Canis lupus familiaris: one gene and its partners. The protein of the gene in region 2 interacts with the protein of the main gene of each other region in a pairwise test. Links are inferred from orthologs where the notes say so. Each region holds a gene or a part of one and is shown on either strand. Other genes may lie near its edges. The genes, in order: RAN, NUPR1 and MPHOSPH6.

Evidence for each region.
Region 1: the proteins of NUPR1 (region 2) and RAN interact in a two-hybrid assay, tested with the Homo sapiens proteins (2 studies listed by BioGRID and IntAct). The link is inferred for Canis lupus familiaris from reciprocal best matches to the Homo sapiens genes NUPR1 and RAN.
Region 3: the proteins of NUPR1 (region 2) and MPHOSPH6 interact in a two-hybrid assay, tested with the Homo sapiens proteins (2 studies listed by BioGRID and IntAct). The link is inferred for Canis lupus familiaris from reciprocal best matches to the Homo sapiens genes NUPR1 and MPHOSPH6.

Annotation. Positions count from the first base shown.
Region 1 is NC_049247.1:1,620,107-1,625,954, reverse strand, and holds RAN (GTP-binding nuclear protein Ran), read left to right. Parts: upstream 1-2,523; 5' UTR 2,524-2,535; coding exon 2,536-2,571; intron 2,572-2,679; coding exon 2,680-2,764; intron 2,765-2,837; coding exon 2,838-2,963; intron 2,964-3,791; coding exon 3,792-3,979; intron 3,980-4,148; coding exon 4,149-4,319; intron 4,320-4,414; coding exon 4,415-4,459; 3' UTR 4,460-4,473; downstream 4,474-5,848. UniProt on the Homo sapiens protein: GTPase involved in nucleocytoplasmic transport, participating both to the import and the export from the nucleus of proteins and RNAs. Switches between a cytoplasmic GDP- and a nuclear GTP-bound state by nucleotide exchange and GTP hydrolysis.
Region 2 is NC_049227.1:18,386,016-18,391,679, reverse strand, and holds NUPR1 (nuclear protein 1), read right to left. Parts: upstream 2,939-5,664; 5' UTR 2,780-2,938; coding exon 2,668-2,779; intron 2,308-2,667; coding exon 2,171-2,307; 3' UTR 2,158-2,170; intron 1,674-2,157; 3' UTR 1,344-1,673; downstream 1-1,343. UniProt on the Homo sapiens protein: Transcription regulator that converts stress signals into a program of gene expression that empowers cells with resistance to the stress induced by a change in their microenvironment.
Region 3 is NC_049226.1:70,386,598-70,392,474, reverse strand, and holds the start of MPHOSPH6 (M-phase phosphoprotein 6), read right to left. Parts: upstream 4,340-5,877; 5' UTR 4,259-4,339; coding exon 4,208-4,258; intron 3,828-4,207; exon of another isoform or gene 3,680-3,827; intron 1-3,679. UniProt on the Homo sapiens protein: RNA-binding protein that associates with the RNA exosome complex. Involved in the 3'-processing of the 7S pre-RNA to the mature 5.8S rRNA and play a role in recruiting the RNA exosome complex to pre-rRNA; this function may include C1D.

The DNA of each region.
Region 1 (5,848 bases), on a different chromosome or scaffold from region 2:
TAAATGGTATTGTACCGTACAATCTCTCTATAAAACTACATATACTGTGGACTATTTAAGACCATTATCACATCTTTCTTGAACTTCCTTCTTTCTCAACATTATCCTTTGAGATCTAACCCTGTTGATACAGATGAACTTGCTTCCTTTCAGATGGCATACTGTAATAGTTAAATATTTGTAGTTTCCCTACCAATGGGTATCTCTGGAAGCTGCATTTTTTGTTGCCATAATGTTGTAGCGAACGCTTGAGATACTGTCTCCCTGTGCATATGTGTGAGTTTAACTCCAGAGAATCTCTCTAGAAGTGGAAGTTACAGGGTCGCCAGCTCTCGGCACTCATGTTTTATCAGTTCCTGCTTTCCAGAGAGGCCAAAGCAATGGTCACACCCAAGCAGCATAGAGATCTGTTTGGTGTTTTCCTGAGGGTCCTGGAGAGCAGTGGGATTGGAGTTCCCAGCAGGCAGATTCGCCCAAGTGTTGTGCCCAATTTGCATCACTTGTGTTCCCAATAGGTTTGCTTGCAAAGGGCACTGAAGACTAAGTGGCTAACTCCTCCTCCGTCATCTGGGTTCTCTGCGCTCTGGGAAGAGTCCCCACGGTGGAATCCTTCCTGAGCAACCAGACTACTCTGATGGGGCCACCAGCGGTACTACTCTTGCCGCGAGTGCGGATGTTTGCTTGCAGAGGGGGCCGAGAGGATCTGGGTTATGGAGAATCTGTGGCTGTCCACACAAATGCCAAAAACTGGCCCTAGATTTAGGGTAAGAGGTTAGAGGACTCCACTTGGCCCACTTCCTTGCTGAGAATGAATAGTAGTTAACTGTCAACACTTGCTGAGCTTGTGGCTCATCTTACTTTCTGCCTACACCGGCCCTACGAGGTGGGCATCCCCAGCAGCATGTGACTTCTGAGTGCATGGATCTCGTCTGCATTCTTGCCAGCTTTATTGTCTCCACAGTCTGGAACCTACATACTCATCGATTGCATCCAAATTTGTAACTGGGATGCGAGCCGCCAGGTTTGAAAACACGATTTCGTCATCCTGTGCGCAGGATACAGTCACAAAGGCTGCTGACCAAGGAAATGCTTTAACAAAAGGGTGGCTGCCTTTTAGGGTGAGAAAAAGCATCGATTTTGCACCCTTTACCCCCAAGTAAGGTTTTGGCTGGAGCCAGGGACACCGGGTGTGGGCGGTGGGGGGGCCTGAAACACAAGGCAGGGGCCCGCGGGGTCCAGGTGAGAGGAGGGGGTGCGGCGGGGGCCCAGGGCAGGCTCTGCGGACCGGGGTCTGGGAGGAAGGGCCGGGGCCGGGCCGGGCCGGGGGCGCAGGAAGCGGCCGAGAGGGTGATGGAGGCCCGGGGGAGGCAGGTGGCAGATGGACGGGCGGCTCCGGGAGAGGGTGCGGGTCGGAGCGCCCGGGGTGCCGCGAGAGCCCACAGGGGCAGGGCCACAGGGGCAGGGCCCAAGGCCTCCGCACGCGCCCGCTTCCCCCGCGGCGCACCGTCCCGCGCGCCCACGGCGAGGCCCCACGCCCGGAGGCCCGGGGCTTTGTGTCGGCCGCTCCCCGCGACTTTCCCGCCCAAGAGGCCTGCGCTCTCCTCCCAGTGTCGTGGCGCGGCCGCAGCTGGGCGCGCCGCGTCGGCGTCGGCGCATGCGCGCGCTGGAACCCGCCCTTGGGCCGGCGCACGTGGCCCCGCGAGCCGGCGTGCGTCCGCGCGCCCGCGCCGAGCGCGACTGCCGCCCCGCCGCGACTCTCCCCTCCGCGCCCGGCCGACGGGTGTGGCCGGCCGAGCCCGCGGCGTGCGTGCGCGCGCACGCCGGGCCACGTGGGAGCGACGCGGCGCCGTTGCCCCGCCCCCCCCGGCGCGCGCCGGCGTCGGCTGCGTCTCCGGGCATTTGAATTGCGCTTCCGCCATCTTCCAGCCCTCAGTCAGACGGGCCGGAGACGCTTCTGGAAGGTAAGGCAGCGGGGCCGGGCCGGGGGCCGCGGGGGCCGCGGGGGCCAGGGGCCGGGGGGCCGGGGGGCCGGGGGGTCGGGGGCCGGGCGGGGGCCGGGCGAGGGCCGGGCGAGGGCCGGGGCCGGGGCCGGGCGGCAGTCGTGCGGGCCGGGGCGGCGGCGGCGGCGGCGGCGGGCTCTCGCCGTCCCCTGCCGTAGAGACCGAAGACCGTGGCCGGGACGCCAGTCGCGGTGGGCCCGGGCGGGCGGCGGCCCCGGGGCGGCGCGGGCCGGGGGGCGCGCGATCGGGGCCCCGGGCGGCCCCGGCCTCCGCCCCGCGCGCCGGCCTCCGCCCCGGCCTCCCGGCCTCCCTCCCCCACGGGCGCGCCGCCAGACCCGCCGCCGGAGCAGCGCCGCTCGCCCGCCCGCCCGCCGCCGGGAGCGCGCCGCGGCCCCCGCCCCGGCCCGGGCGTGCGCGCGTGGGGCCCGGCCGCCGGAGCCCCTTTGTGGGCCCGGGCACGTGGGGCGGGCCGGCCATGTGGGCCCGGGCCCCGCCGCCAGCCGTCCCACGTCTGTCTCCCCGCAGCACCAGCGCTATGGCTGCCCAGGGAGAGCCCCAAGTCCAGTTCAAGGTGGGTGGTGCGCGGGGGCGGCCGGGGGGAGCGGGGCGGCGCGGCCCGGGGGGCGCCGGGGCCTCCCCTCCCCCCCCCCGCCCCCCGCGACCGCGTCCTGTCTCGTAGCTGGTGCTGGTTGGCGACGGCGGCACCGGCAAGACCACGTTCGTGAAGCGTCACCTGACGGGTGAATTCGAGAAGAAGTATGTAGGTACGTGGGGGGAGCCGCGGGGGCCCCCGGGAGCGGGGCGCGAGCGGACCTGACGGCCGTGCTTGTGTTGCAGCCACTCTGGGCGTGGAGGTCCACCCCCTCGTGTTCCACACCAACAGGGGCCCCATCAAGTTCAACGTGTGGGACACCGCCGGCCAGGAGAAGTTCGGCGGGCTCCGGGACGGCTACTACATCCAAGGTGGGTGAGGGCGGGCCGGCGGCTGCCGCGTGCTGTGTCATGATGGGCGCAGCGCCGAGCCTGGAGCCTGGAGCCGGGACCCGGAGCGGGCTCCTCACCTAAGACAATGAGCATCCCACGAGGTGCTGCTGTGGCTGCCGGAGTCGTTGGGGCTGGTTGGGGGTTTTTTTGCTTGTTTTTTTCCCTCAAGGGCACTGTAGAGTGGCAGATAAAGACAGGAAGAAAATGTCATCTGGGATCTCTTGTGATGAAAGATGATTGGGAGTCCTTCCATATTTTGCATCCTTTGCTATGTTACAGATACACAGCTTTTTTTTTCTCTTCTTAAAAAGTGTTTAATTAGGAAACTCCTAGACTGTACATACTTCGGTTTGTTGTCTCAATTATATTAGAATTGTGTTCCTCATAGGTCAGTATGTAGGCCTGCGTGTTTTAAGGCAGAATAACATACTCTTTTGTGTAGTTTAGGATCATTTAAAGAGCAGGTTCTGAGATCCTCAGAATAGAGGAGACCAGTTGTCTTAGGGTGCTGCTCTATCGGTAGTCTACTTGAGATTCTGGGATGGGACGGAATTAATGAAGTATTACGGGAGAGATTTGATAAGCTAGGCTGGTAGTTCACACTCACACAGAAAATGAAACTTTAAATCTTGTTACGTATTACAGTGGTTGGAGATCCTTAAACTTGGAAGAGAGAGACATTGGGGTGTAGTGAGTGCAGAAGCAGAGGTAGCCAGATTGGGCCTGTCCCCTAGCCCGTGCTCCTTAGCATTCCTCATTTGTGCAAGAAGTCATACATGTGTAACAGTTTTCCTACATCTGTTTCAGCCCAGTGTGCCATTATAATGTTTGACGTAACGTCAAGGGTTACTTACAAGAATGTGCCTAACTGGCATAGAGATCTGGTACGAGTGTGTGAGAACATCCCCATTGTGCTCTGTGGCAATAAAGTGGATATTAAGGACAGAAAAGTTAAGGCAAAATCTATCGTCTTCCACCGAAAGAAGAACCTTCAGGTATGTTTTTTAAAACTTAATTGTTTTTCTCTAAGATGAAACTACGGTAATAGATCCACTAAAGGAAATTGTGTCTGTGGTATGGATGGAAAAACTATTTTTAGTTTTAAACATTTCAATGATCCTCAAGAAGTAGATTTTTAAAAACTTATTTTATTTTATGGAACAGTACTATGACATTTCTGCCAAAAGTAACTACAATTTTGAGAAGCCGTTCCTGTGGCTTGCTAGAAAACTAATTGGAGACCCTAACCTGGAGTTTGTCGCCATGCCTGCTCTTGCCCCCCCAGAGGTGGTCATGGATCCAGCTCTGGCAGCACAGTACGAGCACGATCTAGAGGTAGGTGGCAGATGGGTCCGTCAGTGGGATCTCTTGGGTGTCCCGTGTCCTGACGGCTCTAACCCATGGTGTCCTGACGTTGTGTCTCTGTCCAGGTTGCTCAGACGACCGCGCTCCCGGATGAGGATGATGACCTGTGAGAAGTGCAGCTGGAGGCCAGCGTCAGAAGTCTAGTTTTATAGGCAACTGTCCTGTGATGTCAGTGGTGCAGCGTGTTTGCCACTTTTATTATATAGCTGAGCAGAACATGTGCTTAATCTTTGGGATGCTGAAGGAGATGAATGGGCTTCGGAGTGAATGTGGCAGTTTAAACAGTACCTTCATTTTTTTGGACCTGCATACTTAGCTGTTTTGGAACGCAGTTGTTTCCTTCCTGAGTTTCAGATAATGAGACTGCTACAGTCCCATCACAATATCCAGTGGTGAAATCTCGTTTGTCACTGTCATTCCCATTCCTTTTCGTTTAGAATCAGAATAAAGTTGTATTTCAAATATCTAAGCCAATGAACTCCTCCCTTGTTTGGTAAGCATCTTAAAACCACTAACAGGAAAAGTTGTGCCACGTTACTGTTGAACTGGCCTTTGCTATTCTCCCTTAATTTGAATCTTTGCAGGTTAAGTTCTTGTCTATTTGTACATTTGGATCCTCTCACACAGGTGACAGGGCAGACATCCGCAGTATTCCGTTTGGTAGATTGTTAGAGGGGTGAGCATCCGTGGTGAAGCTAAAACGATGCCCGTCGCATCTGCCTTCAGACTGGGTGGTGTCACCTGGGGAAGAGCTTTGGACTTCTGTGACCTGTTGGAACAAAACTACTAGACGTTTCGGATAGGCATTTTAAGAATTACAGTTAACATTATTTTGTGACCAGTAACCGTGCTCTCATGTAGGGATGTTCAGAATCTGGTAGAACGATAACAGATGACGGTGGGGACTTGACAGGAGTCTCATTTGTTAAAAATGAGTGTAAGTTATGCATTGATTTGATTTTGTTTTAATGTTAACGTCTAATGTGAAGCTGGTACTCTAGAAAGATGTTCCACGATTACCCGCTGCTTTCAAGTATTTCTGAGTGTTAAAGATGCTGAAGAGTAAGGATTTAAGTTGGGCATCTCACAGCTTTGATGCTTTTTTTTTTTTCTGAAGGATTTTTGTGGCCAATTCAAAGGCACGAACACTAAATAGAAAAGTAGATCTTAGAATGGCTTCTTGAAACGTGAAACATTGCAAAGGTTTCGTTGGATCAAACCATTTATCTTTGTATGATTTACACATTTAAGAACGAGTGGAGTCTGTCTTCAGTTTTGACCCCATGGATGCTATACTGTAGCAGTTAGGAGTCTTAAACTATTATGCTCACTTGAGCACTGCTATGGTTGTTTACCAAAGTTCCTTAGATGTCCATTTCTCCTTAAATGGTTACTTTCTTACCTAAAAAGAAGGTAGGAAGGGGTTGCTTAAATATATGGAAAAATGAAATACAGAGGGTAGAATTTAATAAATTTCAATATTGAGTAAATGTATCAAT
Region 2 (5,664 bases):
ATGCTCAACCGACTCAGCCACCCAAGCATCCCGGAAGCCATGTTTTATGGGTGTCAGAATAATGAGCTAAAAGTCGCTGGAATCCCTGACACAGTGAAGTTGTCATTTTAGCTCAAGAGTACTGACTCTTGGAGCGGTTATATGACAGAGAACTTTCTCTCCCAATTTGAGTCTTCATTACAGCCGCCCAAAACCTATCTCAATCAATAGGTCTTCTTATTTGCCCTACAGTCTTCTCAAACTCTGGTCCTGAGACTGATTATATATATATACAAGGTAAGAATCTTCCTCCCCTGCAGGTGACCTCCCAGAACCCTGTACTGGCAGCCCTCTTGGCAGAGGGACAGTGAGAATCCTTGAGTTTGAGCCCTGAGTATCTGGGGCAAGTCTCTTAAGTTCTAAATCTCAGTTTTCTCGGGATGCCCGGGTGGCCCAGCGGTTTAGCGCCGCCTTCGGCCCAGGGCGTGATCCTGGAGACCTGGGATTGGGTCTCACATCGGGCTCCCTGCATGGAGCCTGCTTCTCCCTCTGCCTGTGTCTCTGCCTCTCATGAATAAATAAATAAAAATCTTTAATAAATAAATCTCAGTTTTCTCTATTTTGCAGGTGGCACCAATAAATAGCATTCACTTCAAAAAGTGGCTTTATATCTTTTAATTTTTTTTAAGATTTTATTTATTTATTCATGAGAGGCATAGAAAGAGAGGCAGAGACACAGGCAGAGGGAGAAGCAGGCTCCATGCAAAGAGCTTGATGTGGGACTCAATCCCGGGACTCCAGGATCACGCCCTGGGCCAAAGGCAGGCGCTAAACCACTGAGCCACCCAGGGATTCCCTCTTTTAAATTTTAATTTCTTTTTAAGCAGGCTCCACATTAGGCATGGCCCCAATGCAGGGCTTGAAAACTTACCACTCTGACACTGGAGATGTGAGCCAAAATCAAGAGTCGAAAGCTCAACCGACTGAGCCACCCAGGTGCCCCCAAAGGTGGTTTTATATGAAAATGACACAATCAATAAGATTGTTCATTCTGAAAATGGACAAGAGCTGAGGAGGGGGCTTGTTTCCCAGGCAGCATGACAAAGAAATAGGAAATCCCCTTGCATTTCGTGAGAAACCATGGAGACATGTTTGCCAAAACATATGCATACCAAAAGAAAACACAAGAAAACATGCTAGCCCCTACCCATCCTCACAAAATCAGGCTCACCCTCTCCCAGGTGCATAACCAAGGACACACGCTAACAAGACGGGCTCTCACTGGCTCATGCAAACGCAGCCACACACAGGCAGAAACACAGATGATCAAAACCGCGCAAAGAGACAAAATCCCACACACAACCTGCAGATGTACTTTGTTTATTGTCCTTCCTTCCCACACTCCAGGAGAGCCAATTTCTTCAGTGTCTTTCTTTTTAGGGGGTACCTTTTGCGACTCTGCCTCTCCATTCATTCCCTGCCTCTTGCTTCCTATCTTGTCCTTTTTCTGGGGCTGGAGTCACTTCCTTGGTGGCCCCTCGGAGCCTCGGTCAGGTAGGGTAAGTCCTGGGGGTGGGGTGGGGGGCAAGCAGGTCTGGATCCTGCCTCCAGGTGCCGATCCGTGGTCCTGTCTTCGTCGCTGTGTGGTGTCCGTGCTCTGGCCTCATCTGGGGCAAGGGAAGAAAGGGACAGTTCTTTTTTTTTTTTTTAAGATTTTATTTATTTATTTATGGGAGACACAAAGAGAGGCAGAGACAGAAGCAGGCTCCATACAGGGAGCCTGATGCGGAACTGGATCCTGGGACTCCAGGATCATGCCCTGAGCTGAAGGCAGATCCTCAAGCTCAACCGCTGAGCCACCCAGGCATCCCTGAGCGGGACAGTTCTAATCTTGGGTTCTGACTCTGCCTCTCCTGGTCACTTGCTCTGTGTCTCCAGAGAAGGACCCTACCTCCCCCTGGGGCTCCATTTCCCTCCCTGTAAACCAAATTGCCCTCCAGTTGGAAAGGTTCCATATTTCCCCCTTTGCTCTGGTCACTAGGAAACTCAGAGTCGAATGTGTGTCTCATTTCATTGTACTTTGAGACAATGGTACTTGGATCCCTTCTTCTCACCCAACCATACTTTGAGGCATGTCCTTTTGAGACAGAGGGACCTCTGGGTCCCCTGACTCCTTACTTCCAGCTCCGTCTCAGGACCGTGCCCCCCGCTTTTTCCGCTCCGTGTTCTGGAGCTTAGTCACCAGCTTCCTCTCATGGCCACCAGGGCTGGGGCGGTTGGTGTTGGCAGCAGCTTCTCTCTTGGTGCGACCTTTCCGGCCTCCCACTCCTGGGAACCAGGCAAGAGGCTGAGGTGAGGTTGGCGGAGGCATGAGACATCCAAGGAGAAGCAGGGGGTCGGGAGCGCAGGGTGGACAGAGCATGGTTTGGGGGAGGCAGACTGGGGACTGGTCACCACATGGCTTTGGGGCAGTCATAATCCCTGTTTCCCTATCTGTGGAATGAGGGACCCCTGATGGTTGCTCCAATATCCTAGGGGTGTGTGGGGTCCCAGGGCTGAGCAGGACAGCACTCAGGGTAAGAGGGGTTAAGAAGGACTTGGGGATGAGGACAAATCTAAGGAAGAATCCTAGTTGGGACATGGGGGTAGATGTGGAGGGATCAGGAAGGTGACAGGGCCAGACCTTACCCAGGCAGGAATGAGCCAGGCTATAGAGGTCATACTCATCCAGGCTGGGGTCTTCGTCCTCTGGGCCTGGGGGCTGCTGAGCCCGGCTGGCTGCTCCCGGGAAGGTGGACATTATATCTGACTCTCCCTTGCCGTCTGTCTCTCTGTCGTCTTCAAAAGCTTTGTTTGTGTCCGGTTTCCCGACACCTCCCTCTTCACTGGCCCCAACTTATAAAGGCCACGTGTCCTCCTCAGGCCCTGTCTGATGCAATCTGGCCCTTTCCCAGAACCCGACCCAGTAAACAGCAATCACGAGAGGGGGAAAGAGTCAGTCCTGTGAGTCCCAGCCCCTTCCCCTCGCCTCCGCCCTCTCACTGGGGCTCGCCCAGCTGGGTATTTTTCCACAGAGGAGATCCCCGCCCCTCAGGGAGGAGGAGGAAAGAGGCAGAGTCTGAGCATAAACAGTCCTTGGGATAATGGCCAGTGGGGAACTGAGGGCCTCACCTGGCCAACTCCTCCCTATCTGTCCCCTGCCCCCTGCCTCACACCTGACCCCCACCCCAATTCTGGCTCAGACTCAGGACCCTGGTGGCAGATTGTGGAATGAACAACACACCACAAGCTAGGTCAGTGGTTTTCGCCCCTAACACGCCCAACACCCCTTTTCGATAAGAAACATCTGGAAAGCCCCCTTTATATCCTGAGCTGTGAGGGGGAGTGGGTCCCTAGGTAGTTTCCCTCACTGGAGAGGGAGGTTAACAGTGTGGTGCAGATTCTGGAGCCAGCTGCCCTGGGTTCAGACCTCTGACCTCTCCTTCCTGGGTGACCCCAGACAGGTCACCATACTTCTCTGCGCCTCAGTTTTCTCTTCTGTAAAAAAATGAGGATGATAAGAATCGCATCAACCTCACAGACTTCGTGAGAGAATTGAATGAGACACCCCCCACATGTGTGTAGGGGACACTTGCAACAGTGCCTGGTACCTTGTAAGCTGTGCTACAGGAGTCATTCACCTAATTCCCAAACAACTCAATAATGTCGTCCCTATGATGTAAAAGAAAAGTGATTTATAATGAAATAATGTCTTTCAAGGCATGAGTATCCAGAGGTAGAAGATATTACGAAGTAAACAGGTGTTTGTACCTAATATGAATTAAGGGAAGGGATTCAGACAAGAAACGCATGCAAGGGGCGCCTGGGTGGCTCAGTAGTAGAGCATCTGCCTTTGGCTCAGGGTGTGATCCCAGGATCCTGGGGTCGAGTCCCGCATCAGGCTCCCCCTAGGGAGCCTGCTTCTCCCTCTGCCTGTGTCTCTGCCTCTCTTAGTGTCTCTTATGGATAAATAAATAAAATCTTTCAAAAAAGAAAAGAAACGCATGAAAGTGGAAATTTCCACTCTTGCCTCAAGGGATCTGCCCTTTGTGGGTCAGGTTGACCCAGAGAGGCCACACCCTGCCCACTGATGTTTTTGCTGAAGTTTATGTGCCAGCTCCCACAGTACCGGGCAGGGAAGGAGGCAGATGCAACTTTCCACCTTTCTTTTCTTTTCTTTCTTCCTTTCTTCCTTTCTTCCTTTCTTCCTTTCTTCCTTCCTTCCTTCCTTCCTTCCTTCCTTCCTTCCTTCCTTCCTTTCTTTCTTTCTTTCTTTCTTTCTTTCTTTCTTTCTTTCTTTCTTTCTTCTTTCTTTCTCTTTCTTTCTTTCTTTCTTTCTTTCTTTCTTCTTTCTTTTTTTTCTATTTTAACCTTAGTAGTCTCGCACAATAGGACAGGCTGGGGGGTGGGGTGGGGGGTATCCCTGGGTGGCTCAGTGGTTTAACACCTGCCTTTGGCCCAGGGCGTGATCCTGGAGCCCCAGGATTGCATCCTGTGTCAAGTCCTGTGTCGGGCTCCCTGGATGGAGCCTGCTTCTCCCTCTGCCTGTGTCTCTGCCTCTCTCTCTCTCTTTCTCTGTGTCAATCATGAATAAATAAATAAAATAAAATAAAAAATAAGACAGGCTGGGGTCAGACCAGGTGTTCATTCTCTGCTAACATTCCCCCTTTGCTGTGAACTCGTTCAAACACTGTCTCATTTCCATGCTGCCTAATTTCACCTTCCCCCAAACCCTGGGATAACCCAAGTTCGTCCTTTGCTGAACAAGAAGAGGTACTTCTGCTTGTGTTTCTCCCTGGCTGGAGCCAGAATAAAATTTAGTTTTTGTTTTTCAGGTTTGGTTGATGTGTGAATTCTTGAACCTCCAGGAAATGAAAGTGAGGTCATTGAATAAAACTGAGTTTGGGATAATCACGTAGGGGCCAAAGGCAGGTCTCCCAACAATGAGTCACTTTAACATATTGGTTATTTTAAATAAAATAAGAGACAGCCTGGTGAGACTGACTTTCAGCCCTCCTTTGTACCCCTGAAAGCAGGAAATAAATCTCCCAGGTAAAATTCCCCTCCCTGTACAGGGAGGTAAAAAGACACCCTTATCATCAGAGATAGGACATTTTTTTTTTAAAGATTTTATTTACTTGACAGAGAGAGAACAAGAGAGAGCACAGAGCAAGAGGGAGAAGCCGACTCCCCACTGAACAGAGAGCCCAACACCGGGGCTCGATCCCAGGACCCCCAAACCATGACCCAAGCCAAAGGCAAATGCTTAACAAACTGAGCCACCCATCTGCCCCCAGAAGTAAAACATTTAGAGCTGAGATTTTCGTTACTCTTTTTTTTTTTTTTTTTTTTACTAATTTATAAAGTTTTCTTTCTCCTTCAATTCTTCACAGTTTCATCGTCCCTTTGTCTAAAAGGATAAATACCACCTGCCTCGGACATTTCCGATTTCATGACTAGGCCTCCATGCGCACATAATAAAACTTTGCTCTTTTTTAAAAGTTTTATTGATTTATTCATGAGAGACACAGAGAGAGTGAGAGAGGCAGAGACATATGCAGAGAGAGAAGCAGGCTCTATGGAGGGAACCTGATATGGGACTCGATCCGGATCCCAGGACTCCAGGATCATGCCCTGGGCCGAAGG
Region 3 (5,877 bases), on a different chromosome or scaffold from region 2:
CTCTTTTTTCTAAGATGTGCAGAAGCTCAACTCAAAATAGGCCAGGAGAGAAATTGGCAGTCCAGCTGCTAGTCTCTTCCCACCATAAACAATAACTCTATTTCCTTAGGGCATCAGTGAACACCATAGGAAACTGATCACAGCAAAATGATAAAACATTAATAAGGGAAAAAAATAAATTCAGAAAATATCCAGGAGCCTTCAGAAATTAGGTCTAGAGTTCTACTAGTTTCCATCTGTCCCTATTTCTTTTCCTTGTCTGAGCTCTATATTACTTTTCCTTCCATTCCAACCTTTCCAAAAATACAAGCATTTTTAGGCAAAAGGGCTTTACCAATGAATATTTTTTTTTTAAATTTTTTTATTTATTTATGATAGTCACAGAGAGAGAGAGAGAGAGAGAGAGAGAGAGAGGCAGAGGGAGAAGCAGGCTCCATGCACCGGGAGCCCGACGTGGGATTCGATCCCGGATCTCCAGGATTGCGCCCTGGGCCAAAGGCAGGCGCCAAACCGCTGCGCCACCCAGGGATCCCACCAATGAATATTAAAGGCAATGACGGAACTTGGAAAACATTTACAAATAAAATACAGTGATAATATCCAGTTCTGATGAGGTGAGTCTGGATCACTCACACATTGCTGGTAGGAATACGAATGGTACAACTTCTGTTGAAAACAGTTTGGTTTCTTACCCAACTAAAGATTCATAACATATGACCCAGCAATTGTCCTCTTGGGCATTTATCTCAGAGAAATGAAAACTTATGTTCACTCAAAAAGTCATACAGAAATATTCACAGCAGCTCTATTTGTTAATAGCCAAACACTGAAAACAATCAAAATACTCTTCAAAAGGTGAATGGTTAAGTCCTACGGTACTACCATGGCATGGAATATTATTTAGCAATTGAAAAAAAGGAACTAAGGATACTCAACAACTTAGATGGATCTCAAATGAATTATGCTGAATGAAAAAAAAAAAGCCATCTCAAAAAGGTTACATATGTACAATTTTATTTATAGAACATCTTTGAAATAACGAAGTTATAGGAATGGAGAACAGATCTGTCAGAGCTTGGGGACAGTAGAAAAGACTGGGTATGGCTACAAATGGAGAGGCTGAGGGAACCTCATGGTGATGGAACAGCTTTGTATCATGAATGTGGTGGTAGCTACATAAGTCTGCATAAGCCCTCACCACAGGAAAAAACTGGCAGTTTCTGGAATGTAGTAATGTACTTCCCAGTCCTGCTTCCTCTGCTACTCAACATCATGTTTCCATCTTCTTATCTGGCAAAATATCCACTTGAAAAAACCCAGAGCACATGTCCTTTCGGCCTTCCCTGACTGGTGTTTGGCCAAGCTGTTCAGAGATCTCTTCCCATAAAAGAATATCTTTCCCTACATCTAAGAGCCTTATAAGCACTGGCTTTTTGTTCATTAATGCTTCTTTTGTGTCTCCCAAAAGACAGAGATTCTGAATAGTAGACCATGTCTCTTATTCATTTTTTATTACTAGTACTTGGGCTGTAGCTGGTATACAAGAAGAGTTCAATAAAGGTTCTCTGAATGTAACTCCAGACTTATTTTCCCAGACTCTCTTTCTTGGATGGTTCTCTTTAAACTCAGATGCTTTGGGGGCACCTGGGTGGCTCAGTGGTTAAGCATCTGCCTTTGGAGGTTGTGATCCCGGGGTTCTGGGATTGAGTCCCACATCCGGCTCCCCACAGGGAGCCTGCTTCTCCCTCTGCCTATGTCTCTGCCTCTCTGTGTGTGTCTCATGAATAAATAAATAAAATCTTAAAAAAAAAAAAAAAAAAAGCTTAGTGATTTGACTTTACTCACAAGTGAGAGCCTACAGCAGGCATCACAAATTACAATTCTGGGCTAGATAACAATTCTTGTAAATAAAGTTTTATTGGAACAAAGATCTGTTCATTTGGTTCTGAGCTACAATGGCAGGGGTGAGTAGGTACAATACTAACTGGCCCACAAGCCTGAAGTATTTATTATCTGTCCTCTTAGAGAAAAAGTTTACCAACTCCTATCTTAAGAGCCCAAAGGAGCTAACATCACAAATAAGCGCCCTCTTTACAATCATTTCATCATGCTGACAGGAATACCACCTATATCTTTCACTTTCTACTCCCATCAGGATCACCTTCCAGTCCCTAACAGGTGACCAAGTCGGAGGATTTCAGGTACACTTCAAAACAAATGTATTAGTATTAAATCCTCTACTCTCTTCATTCTTGCTCTACACTGAACTCTGGCTGAACAGTTACACTGGATACAGCAACCTAATGCAGCTGTTCCATTCATTCTCATGGGACACTCCACTCTATCTGTATGTATGGTATCTCTTGCTATCCTACCAATAAGTTCTTTATTATAACTGAAGCTGCTGACCCAACTAGAAAATCTGTGTCATAGTCCCCCCCTCTCCTTTGCTTCCAAGTCCTGTTGAGTCTTCTCCAACCACTGGGGTAGGAGTTGATACTTTTTTTATGGTATTTTCTTCCTTTCTAACTCTTGAGTCAGCTCTTTGGTCAGAGGTGTAATCACTCAGGACATCTTCAGTTGATGTGCCTGCTTTGCCAATCCACTCTACCTCTCGGATTGCAAACTCAGAGTCAGAAGAAGCCTCTGTGGGGTAAAAATGCAAATTTTGCTATTAATATGTAGGAAAAAAGAACTTTAGAAACTATAAATTATGATTTACCCTCCACCCTCACTCACCCTATTCATCCCTAGTTACACCCTCGCTGAACTCCAAATCTGGCACATGCAACATGTACTCTCCAATCTTTCAAAACATTATTTATGCCTTGCTTCCTTTTTTTTCTGGAAATTATTCTCTAAACACGACATCTTACACTGTGCTGACAGCGACAAGCAGTTAAGAGCAGGGGCTTTGGAGCAAGACTGCCTGAGTTTGGTTCTGTCTATACAACTTGTTAGCTGTGTAACTTCAGGCAAGTTAGCTACTTCTCTTTCGGGGCTTCAGCTGTAGGAGAGCAGTAATAACTGCATCTACCTCGCAGAGTCACTACATGGATTCTACGGGCGGCTATAGGCAAAGCACGTAGAACAGCTGTCTGGCACATAGCAGAAACTATAAATGTTTACTATTATTATTCAAGCTTTTAAGGCCTGGTTGTTTCCCCTGTTTTAATCCTATATTCCTTTTACGTGCCCTTGCCTTTTTGTTTTTCCACTTTGAAATTATTTGTTAAATGAGTTCAATTTTGGGGCGCCTGGGGGGGGTTCAGCGGTTGAGCTTCTTGCCTTTGGCTCAGGTCAGGATTCCAGGGGTCCTGGGACCGAGTCCCGCATCCGGCTCCCTGCAGGGATCCTGCTTCTCTTTCTCTCTCTGTGTCTCATGAATAAATAAAATCTTAAAAAAAAAAATGGATTCAATTTCGAATTTAAATAATCAATTTTGCTGAAAGTCGAAGATATTCACCTCAACTGTTCTAATTCTGTTCCCATTGCCATTGCGACCAGATCAAAACTTCTAGCTCGTTTTTGTTTTTTTTCCCCCACCAGGGCATTCTCCATAGGGCAGCTAAGGGAACTTTGAAAAGTAAGCACAGCTAAGATGCTCAATAGCTTCTCCGTGTTCACATAGAGAAAAAAATAATAATAATAATTCTTCCTCTGGCCTAAAACTGCTCACCTATGTGGCCACTGGCTGCTGGTTCAGGCCCACTTCTTGCTACTTGCCTTCCAGACACAACGGCTGATCTTTAGTTCTTGGGAATCCCAGCGGCTTTCCCGAGGTTTGCGTCCCAGAGCCGTGCACCCGGTTTTCCCTGGGTCTCCGCGGCCCTGCGCCCCGCCTCCCACCTGCCCTCCCTCTCTCCTCCTCCCCTCCCCCCCCCACCCCCCACCCCCCACCCAAGGGCCTCTCCCGCGGAAGCCAAGTAAGCTCCCGGCGCTCCGGGCACCGCTCAGCGCCGCGGCATCCTACCCGCTGCCGCCGCTCTCCTATCCCGCCGCGGGCTTTAAGAGCGAACCCGCCGGACTCAGAATCCCGTTCCCAGGGCCCGAACCAGACCAAGCGCTAAGTGAATGAATGAATGTCCGAGCTGGAGGCCCTCCGCGGCCGCCCCGGTGCCCCCGCGCGTCTGCAGCCCCGGCCCCGGCCAGGTGTGGAAGCTCAGGTACCCCCGTCGCCCAGCGCGCCTCCCCGCCGTCCCCGCACCTTCATGCGCAGCAGGTTCTTGGACAGTTTCGTCTTGCGCTCGGCCGCCATGTTGGCGCCTGCTCGGGGCCGCGCTCCACCCCCAGCCCCCGCCGCGCACGCGCACGCGCACACGCACACGCACGCCCGCGCACGCGCACTGCCGCGTGCGTCCCGGCGGCGGCGTCTCCCGCAGCTGGCGTCGTCGCACCGCGTGGCTTCGCCCTCGCCTGGGCGCGTCCCGGGAGGCGCTGTCCTCCTCGAGGAGCTGCGGGTGAGGACGCGGCTGTCCGCCAGGGGCGAGGGCGACTGGACGCAGGAGGCAAACGTCTACAGAGGCCTCAGTCGGAGGAGGCCCGAATTTTGCGCCCCGAGAGCGCCGTGGTGAGTGTCGCCGCGCGTCACCGAGGCGGTGGGAGCTGGTGAGACGCTCGCCGCCCGTCCTGGCCACGCCGCGGCTGTGGCGCGTCTGCGTCGCGGACGGCGGGCTTCCCGGGCCGCGCACCACGGTCAGCGCCACAGCCCCTCCTGCGTTGAGGTCACTGAGGCGTGGGGAGGCTGCCGGGCTGGCCCGGGAGCGGTGGGGGGAGGGGAGGCGGGCGGGTGCTGACCCAGGCAGTCTGGGAAACTGTGCACCGTTTGCAGCTGTGCAGGTAGGTCCCTGAGCCTGGATGAGCGTCCCGTGAGACAGCCCAAACCCAACTCGCAGGTGCGAGGCCCGGCAGCCACCTGTGCCAAGGGCTGGGGATGAGTGAGGGAGGGACTGGCGGGGCTAGGTAGGGAGAGATGGAGAGGGGGCCGCGGAGGCAGGCTCACAAAGTCCCCAGAATGCTGAGATGTAAGGAAACCAGACCTACGGGCACAGACCAGACCACCCTGCCCCCGGATATGGGTGGAAAACACACACACACACACACACACACCTGTGACCGGTAAAGAATAACCAGACCCAAAAGGAAGTCATTAAAGATGTTATCAGCAGACTTAAACCAGGACGTCTCAGGGAGGATAAGGCCACAATCTCCCTGGTCAGTTCTCAATAAAAGACTTGTCAGTGGAGGCCCAGTTGGCAACCCCATGAGGACCCCTCTCCTGAGAGTTTCTCTGCATCCTTGCTTAATAAACTTCCACTGCTTTTACTCTCTCTTGTCCGTGAGACTCATTCTTCTGCTCCGGGAGACAAGAACCCAGCTCTTGCTTCAGGGCCGCACGGCCCCCCCGGACGGTGAGGTCCACACCGTTCCCCGGAAAGCACCCGGCCGGCGGGCGGTGCCAGCGGCTTGCCTGTCCCACACAGCTTTCTTTCCTTTCCCTTTTCCTTTCTCTTTCCCTTTCCCTTCTTTTTCTTTTTCTTTTTTTTTAGATTTTATTTATTCATGAAAGAGAGAGAGGCAGAGACACAGGCAGAGGGAGAAGCAGGCTCCATGCAGGGATGAAGAGAGGCTTGTTTTGGCCTCCCATGAATCTGTTAGCGATAACGCAATTTCTCCCCTTCTTGAGGCGGTACCCTAAGATCCAATTAAAGGTTAGCTGTCAGGTGTGTGCAAGCTCTTTGAGGTGCATTTGAACCCTTTGATCTGAGTACAATGCCCTTCTGCCTGTCTATCCCCTTTATAAAATCTGTAGACGTCTGGATTTTGCAGAGAATAACTTTGCAGCTGCCTCGATTGTCCTCTGCCCAATCCCTCTTG